Macaca mulatta: one gene and its partner. The protein of the gene in region 2 binds, or shares a complex with, the protein of the main gene of each other region. Links are inferred from orthologs where the notes say so. Each region holds a gene or a part of one and is shown on either strand. Other genes may lie near its edges. The genes, in order: GID8 and ARMC8.

The links.
Region 1: the proteins of ARMC8 (region 2) and GID8 are in contact, whole or in part, in a cryo-EM structure (PDB 7NSC), measured with the Homo sapiens proteins. The link is inferred for Macaca mulatta from reciprocal best matches to the Homo sapiens genes ARMC8 and GID8. Residues at the interface, in NP_001350870.1 of Homo sapiens: Asn45, Val47, Ile48, Gly49, Asn50, Val85, Ser89, Met92, Arg127, Arg130, Arg161, Tyr162, Tyr166, Leu200, Ser201, Tyr202; in NP_060366.1 of Homo sapiens: Ile83, Ala84, Asn87, His90, Pro91, Glu92, Leu94, Asp95, Thr96, Tyr101, Tyr183, Glu184, Asn185.

Annotation. Positions count from the first base shown.
Region 1 is NC_133415.1:115,762,492-115,766,300, forward strand, and holds part of GID8 (glucose-induced degradation protein 8 homolog), read left to right. Parts: intron 1-2; 5' UTR 3-14; coding exon 15-132; intron 133-1,546; coding exon 1,547-1,743; intron 1,744-2,050; coding exon 2,051-2,248; intron 2,249-3,271; coding exon 3,272-3,445; 3' UTR 3,446-3,809. UniProt on the Homo sapiens protein: Core component of the CTLH E3 ubiquitin-protein ligase complex that selectively accepts ubiquitin from UBE2H and mediates ubiquitination and subsequent proteasomal degradation of the transcription factor HBP1.
Region 2 is NC_133407.1:41,184,290-41,188,560, forward strand, and holds the start of ARMC8 (armadillo repeat-containing protein 8), read left to right. Parts: upstream 1-1,300; 5' UTR 1,301-1,318; coding exon of another isoform or gene 1,319-1,363; intron 1,364-2,160; exon of another isoform or gene 2,161-2,215; 5' UTR 2,216-2,288; coding exon 2,289-2,291; intron 2,292-4,271. UniProt on the Homo sapiens protein: Component of the CTLH E3 ubiquitin-protein ligase complex that selectively accepts ubiquitin from UBE2H and mediates ubiquitination and subsequent proteasomal degradation of the transcription factor HBP1.

The DNA of each region.
Region 1 (3,809 bases), on a different chromosome or scaffold from region 2:
AGAAATAAATCAGAATGAGTTATGCAGAAAAACCCGATGAAATCACGAAAGATGAGTGGATGGAAAAGCTCAATAACTTGCATGTCCAGAGAGCAGACATGAACCGCCTCATCATGAACTACCTGGTCACAGGTAATGGCTTACAGCAAGGATGTTGTTGCGCGAATGTGATTCTCCCTTTTTGAACACATAAGGAGTGCTGTAGCCGTGAGGTTTGATGACGTAGTTATTTGTGTTCAGACATTATAAAAACACAATGCTAACCTGATAAGTTTGTAAATTATCATGTGAAAGATAACCTTTTCTGAAGATGAGATTATTCCAGGTCTCTGAGCCCTAACACAAACCCATTTCTCAGCCTTTGACAGTTTTATAGTTAGTCAAGATAACTGAGACTGTTGTGAAGTAAGTATATTTAAAGCCAAATTGTTAATCTCCTCTGGCCAGTCTGCTTGAGTATGGTGGCCTGTTTCCAGAAGGTATGCCCAACTCAGGACGAGAATGGGGAAGGGCAGAAGTGTGCAGAGGGAAATAAGACTCAGGCTGTTCTTGATGTTGGCTGGAGGAAGGGCAGTGCTTTATATGGTGAGAAAATAGATGTTTTTAAAAGGCATGACATGAAAAATCTCCCTCCTGTTAGTCCCCATTTCGTACTCCCAAATTAATCTCTGTGAAAATTTTTTAGGCCAAACATGGTGGCTCATGCTTGTAATCCTAGCACTTTGAGAGACAGAGGAAGATTACTTGAGCCTAGAAGTTGGAGATCAGCCTGGGCAACATAGTAAGACCTTGTCTCTACAAAAACAATTTTTTAATTAGCTGGGTATGGTGGCTTGTGCCTGTAGTCCCAGCTACTTGGGAGGCTGAGGTGGGAGGATCACTTAAGCCCGGGAGGTGGAGGTTGCAGTGAGCCAAGACTGTGTCACTGCCGTCCAGCCTGGGAGAGTGAGTGGGACCCCATCTCAAAAAAAAAATTTTTTGAAAGGTGATGAGGAAATTTAGGCCTATAATTATGTCAGGGGCAGGGGAAGGGGCACACATGCTAGCTTTAAAAAATTGTAGACACTCTTAAGAGGTGGGAGTCACCAGGCCACTGCAGGTGGAGCTGGCCATGGAGGGCTCCTGTGCTGTGGAGGCTGAGCCGGCTGTGGAGGCTGGGCCGGCTGTGGAGGCTGGGCCGGCTGTGGGGGCTGAGCCAGTGTGACTTGCCTAATCTGGCACCAGAGCTGCAGCTGCTGGCATCTGGACCTATTATCTGTCCTCTCAAAGGAGCCCACACCAACACACTAGGTCAGCAGCCATTCTGACCCCTTTGCTAACAGGTTAGAGTTTTTGGATGGGATAACAAGGTATATTCTTCTCATTTTCTGTATGTATTTTGAGAGCATGACTTGTAAATTACAAAGATACTAATACCGGGTTCCTGAGAAAGTGTGGTTCACATTAGAGGTGATTAATTGAGGCAGTTGGAGTTTCTGGAGATACAAAGTCTTTGCCTTAATTCCTTGCTCACTTTCCTAGCAGTGAAGATGGTTTTTCTTTTCAGAGGGCTTTAAGGAAGCAGCGGAGAAGTTTCGAATGGAATCTGGGATCGAACCTAGTGTGGATCTGGAAACACTTGATGAACGAATCAAGATCCGGGAGATGATACTGAAAGGTCAGATTCAGGAGGCCATCGCCTTGATCAACAGCCTCCACCCAGAGCTCTTGGACACAAACCGGTATCTTTACTTCCATTTGCAGGTAAGTTTCAGGAGAGAGCAATCTGGTTTGTGGATACTTGATAAGTTAAAGTTATTTGCAATGATCGAGAAATAACTAGGCTAATTTGCTTTAATGTTATTTTAATGCATGTGCGGGGGAGGGGTTTGAGTTTGCTCTTTTATGTAGTTCAGAAGCTATTTTTTGTTTTAAAAATGCGAATTTGATAACTCAGAGATGCAAGAAGTCTTCCCTCTGTGATGTACTTTTGATGGGGACCCTGGTACCACCTGCCCTGAGTCCCTGTCTTGGGTGTGTGTGGGTCAAGCTTGTCTGTCTCTGCCTCCAGCAACAGCATTTGATCGAGCTGATCCGCCAGCGGGAGACAGAGGCGGCGCTGGAGTTTGCGCAGACTCAGCTGGCGGAGCAGGGCGAGGAGAGCCGAGAGTGCCTCACAGAGATGGAGCGTACGCTGGCACTGCTGGCCTTTGACAGTCCCGAGGAGTCGCCCTTCGGAGACCTCCTCCACACCATGCAGAGGCAGAAGGTGGGGCCCACCAGAGGGAAGCTTTCTTCCACTCCCAGCGTGCTCCGAGAGGGCTTCGCAAAGACACCAAGTGTGTGGCTTTGTGGTGTGGACTGAGGTGGCTTCTGTGCCTGGGATGCTAAGTGGTTCCCTCATGACTTTTTTTTTGGAGATGAAGTCTTGCTCTGTCGCCCAGGCTGGAGTGCAGTGACGAGATCTCGGTTCACTGCAACCCCCGCCTCCTGTGTTCAAGCGGTTCTCCTGCCTCTACCTCCCTAGTAACTGAACTACAGGAGTGCGCCACCACGCCCAGCTAATTTTTGTATTTTTAGTAGAGACGGGGTTTCACCATATTGGCCAGGCTGCTCTCAAACTCCTGACCTCAGGTGATCCAGCCTCCCAGAGTGCTGAGATTACAGGTGTGAGCCACCGTGCCTGGCCCATCTCTGGCTTTTAATCTTTTGTCAAACTAGGGGCAACAGACTTGGTGTCCGTTGCAGAGTATTCACACCCTTTGCTGATTTCTCATGTTTATCTGAACCTTCTTCCTGTTTAGGTCCCAAGTATTTTTCATTTAAAATCCTGTTTTCTGAAACTTTTCTCTCCTCACTGCTGTTTTTGTCTGGCAGAACATGACAGCTCCTCATCTTCCCAGACCCAGGTCCCTCTTCCCCCAGGTCCTCTCCTAGGGCCCTGTCCTCCCTACACTGTCTTGGAAGGATGGCCTGTCCTAGAGTCCACTTGAGATGTTTTCTTGAGGCTTGTGAGGAGGGTGCTGGTATGTCCTGCTACGCTGGTCTTGCCTCTCCACAGTCCCCTCAGCACTTTGTTCAAGCCTTGCTCATGGCACTTAACTGCCATCGAGGCTGGATGTGACATTTGCCGACCAGACTGTGAGCTTCTCCAGGCAAGGACTATGTGTTTCATGTCCCGAGAGCGTCTTGCAGTTAAGGGCTTAATCTTTGTTTAAACTGCATATTTTTAATAGACTCTACTGGTGCTCTGCGTGTGTGGTGGTTTTTATCTGATGTATTTACATTCTAGGTGTGGAGTGAAGTTAACCAAGCTGTCCTAGATTATGAAAATCGCGAGTCAACACCCAAACTGGCAAAATTACTGAAACTACTACTTTGGGCTCAGAACGAGCTGGACCAGAAGAAAGTAAAATATCCCAAAATGACAGACCTCAGCAAGGGCGTGATCGAGGAACCCAAGTAACGCCTGCGCTTGTGTGGTGGACCCAGCACCACCCCTGCGTCGTGGGACTTGCCTCAGATCAGCCTGCGACTGCAAGATTCTCACTGCAGTAGAGAACTCTTTTTCTCCCTTGTACTTTTTTTTGACCTGGCATCTTTTTTATAGGGAAAAATGGCCTTTGTAGGCAGTGGAAAACTTGCAAGGAAAGCTGCCGTCTCTTTGGCAGTCTGATGCAGAGCCTGCACTCTGGCACTCGCTGAAGAATCTGGAAGGCTGCGGTTTGCTCTTCCAGCGTTCCGGCGGCCTCTGACTGCTGAAGGATTTGGTTGGCCACGGAGGGCTGTGCTGTTAGGCTGCATCCCACTCAAAATACAGGAAAAGCACG
Region 2 (4,271 bases):
AACTCAACAGTTTGTTAAGGAACACAGACCCATAAACAGGGGTGATAAATGCTATACTAAATTTGGAAACCAAGTACAGGAGGAAGACAGGAAAACAGTGAAGAGCAAAGTGAGGGAGAGGCTATCAGCTACAAGACCAGTTGGAAGGCTTTTGCTCTAGTCCAGGGGAGAGGTTACAAGAGCCTGAATTAGGGTGTGGCTATAGAAATGGAAGGAATACAAGTAATGTTAATAGGCTAATTGCAACCCTACTGTGAAAACCTTACTGGTTGCAAGCAGTACGAAGGTGAAACTTGTCCAACCAAGTCAAGGGCAGTGTTGCGCGCGCGCGCACGCACGCACACACACACACACACACACACAAAGTAGTAGGACAGCTGAATTAATCAACTATAATTAAAAGCATACTTTTATTTGGCTTCGGTTATCAGAGTGTTTTAGTGTGAAATATTTAGATATTTGCCCCCATTTTCCCCACTTAACTCAGAAGCTGGAGAAACATTAACACATATGTATAACGCTTTCCATGTTTTAGGTTTTTTCTTAGCGCTTCACATTTGTTGACTCCTTTATCCTCATTAACCTTTATTTTACAGATGAGGAAACTCAAAACATAAGGTTAGATAACTTACCCAGGGTAAAGCAGCTGAGAAGTAGCTGGGAAGAAGCTCAAGCATTCTGGCTATTCTCAACACTACACCAGAATAAACGGGGCCGACACACAACCTAAGGCAAGTCACACTTCTGTACTGGATCGTGAAACAATCACTCTTATGGTTGACAAAGGTTCTGGGATCGCAATTTCCCCACCTATAAAATGGAGATAACGACGCCGGGAGTTTGGTGCAGAGAGAGAGAGAATGAATATGAAAGTGAACTTCAAACTATGTATATGGCTCCACGTACTACTTTTTCCAAATATGAATACGGGAACCCACAAACTGCAATTTATCAGTCGGTAGAGCTCGTAGCGCCAGGGCGAGACTCCGCCTCTAGGGCCCCGCCCACCGCGAGCGGCAGGTGGGGCCGGCAGATCTTCTTTGCGCATGCGGAAACCGCTGCCCGCTCCCACCTCTAAACCAGGCTCAGAGTAGCTGCTGTTTCTGAGAGAACGATTCGTAGGACAGCCCCTGACGCGATTCCCTTTTGCCCTTCTTTCTGCGGGCCTTTCTGGTACTTGAGCGGTGTCCAGAGCGTGACCAGTTCTCGTCTATCCGGCTGTCTTTAAGGAGCGATGACTAGCGTTGGCCAATAGTTGGCTGTCGAAAGTGCCGGCCCCCGCGCCGGCGCCTGCAGCAGCCGGGTGGGAAGGCTCAAGATGGCGTGCCTGTTAGAGACCCCAATCCGCATGAGCGTCCTTTCGGTGAGTGACCCGCTGCGGCCGCCCGCCCGCCCTCCAGGGAGCCCCATCCCGGTCTCCACCATTCCCCCAAGCGTGGTGTGCCTCCTGGGCACCACCCCCTGGGGTGGTCCCCGGCTCAGTCTTGGGCCAGGGAGTGAGCGAGGGTGGACAGGCGGGATAGACGGGCAGAGGGGACCCCGGCCGAGCCAAAGACATTTCCAACTCCGGGAGCTCCTGCCGGTGCGGGTTTCCAGGATGGCGTCTGGCAGGCGGGGTAGCTGGGCTTACAGACAACTGGCCCGGCGGCGCGGCTTGGACTTTGCCAAGCGTTTCACTGAGCCTTCCTCTTAGAGATGCCGCTTCCCGGGGGCCGAGCGCTCTGCCTTGTGAAGCGCCAGGCTTGCAGCCGGCCTGGGAACGAAAGCTCACTCAGCTCTCCCGGGCTTTGGCAAGAAGAGGTGCAGGCTCCTTGGCCCCCATTTCCTCAGAGCTGCCAGGCCAAGTCTGTGCGACTTCTATTGCGTCCCAGCACCTGGGCACCGGCTGAAGCTGTTTGCTTTTTGGCAATGGTGATTCGTATCAGCTGCGACTCTTCCTAGTGTGTGTGGTTATTTAAGCCCCTTTCCTCCGCTCTGCTCAGAGGTCGCGGCTCTGAGTCAAAGGAACTCTATGTTCCCTGTGCCTGGTATTCCGTTTTTCTTTAAGGGGAGTCAAACATTGAAGGGGGGAAAAGGGGGAGAGATTTCCCCATTGTTGAAAGAAGGGAACGTATTGACATGCGAGGAAGTAAAACCTGTTTTGTTTTTTTTTAAAAAAAGTTTTTTTTAAAGAAAAAGACGACTTTCACCTTTCACTATGTTGCTCTTGAACCAGGACCAGGAATGAAAGTTACTGGGAGATAACTTCGAAGGATTTTGCAACAAATTCGAGCTGTCCGACTCTGAGAATGGTCAGTTTACCAATGGTTCATTTGCTATTGTTGGAAACAAGCAGGCACATACTAATTGACCATCTTTTAGACTTGTGGAAGCCCGTCTGATACTGAGAGGGTCGTTGGATTATAAATGACTTGTCGGGTTGCTAGAGTCTTGTAACTACAACCGGTTTCTTTTCTCTTCTCTGACTTGTCCCACAAACACCTATCTGAAAGCAGCTAGGACATTTGCTTATGATTCAGGGTTAGAGCGGTGTGGCAGACCTCAACCTTGAAAAGGCTTAAGTTGTCAATACAATAATAATTTAATTTTGTGAGCCTGTCAACAGATTTTTCCCCCGATCCATTTTAGCAGTCGTTTTTTCTTATTTTTAAACTGCAACTAAGGAAATACCGTTTACCTAAGTATTATATCAGATTAGCCTGTTACTCCATCACTGACTGTAATACCCAGGAATATTTTGTGGGAGTGCAGGCCAATGACTTTTACCTCATTATGTTAAAAAATAAAAATAAAAAAAGTGTGTGTCTTGGCTGTTCTCAGTTCCCCTTTAATTATGCATTTAGGTTTCATTTATTCTTCAGTTCACCTGAAGCTTACTTTTTGGATGTTGTCAACTTGTGTGATGCATATGATTTAAAGTTTTCATTTGTTTCACTTCCTTGGTAAATAATGTTTTCTGCTTATTCAAAAACTTCTTGAAGAGTATTTTCTATCAATACTTCTATTTACAATTTGCCTTTAGCCCTAGTCTAATTAGGGGCTTTTTTGGGGGGGGGGGGGAAGTAGGAGCTTTTGGGTAAATGATTTAAGATGTTTAAATTCACTGATTTTACTAATTTAAAGTAAAACCTGTACCTTTCAAAGTACTACCCAGAGCACCACGTTTTGAAACGCAAACTAGAACAGGAAGTATTCATCAGAAATTATCTTGAATGGTTGATTCCTTTAATAAGCTACAATGTACCAGTTATGTACAAGCTCTGCATTGTATACCTTAGAGAATGCAAGGATGAGATCAGAAATGTGTTTAAGGAGCTCCTAGTCTGAATGATGGTGTAACTTGATAAACATAATTTCAGCAAGGAGGCCTTCAAGTTGTTTTAAAGGATTTCCATTTGAGTCTCTTTATACCTTCTCCTTGGGAGATCTCATTGATTTTCTTATAACCTTAACTGATCAGTTCACACATCTACATTGCCAACCTTGACTTTCTTATACATCTAGTCTTGTATCTTAAATTGTGTGTGGATGACACCCATCGCTTCCAGCAAAGCACATTCCTTCTCCTAAGGGGAATTAGTTATGACTTCCCAATTTCTGTTAATGGTATTATCTTTTACTGATGAGTCACTGTTAAACCTCCTGAATAATCTCTGGTTCTTCCTTCTTTCATCCCCCTATATCTATCAGTTGTTAAGCTCTGTTGCTTCTTTATTCTTAGTGTTTCTCGTATCTTTCTGTTCCCATGACCACCCTCATTCAGGACCTTGTTGTTTTGTGCCTGCACTACCACAGCGTCCTTTTAGTTATTTTTACTGTCTCTAGTGTCTTACCCCCTCAGTGCAAGCCCAATGTCTACATTAATTTTCCTAAAGAACTCTGCACAGCTGCTCCTCGGTTTCTTTTCTTTATTGAGTTTGTTTTGCCTAAAGGCCCAAGTTTATATTCAGCTTCAGAGTTGAGATTCTTTATTTTCTTCTTTATCTTCTTTTTTGTTTTTTGAGATGGAGTTTTGCTCTTGTTGCCCAGACTGTAGTGCAGTGGCACTATCTTGGCTCACTGCAACCTCCGCCTCCTCAGTTCAAGAGATTCTCCTGCCTCAGCCTCCTGAGTAGCTGGAATTACAGGCACCCGCCACCATGCCCAGCTAATTTTTTGTATTTTTAGTAGCAACGGAGTCTCACCATGTTGGCCAGGCTGGTCTCGAACTCCTGACCTCAAATGATCCACCCACCTTGGCTTCCCAAAGTGCTGGGATTGCAGGCATGAGC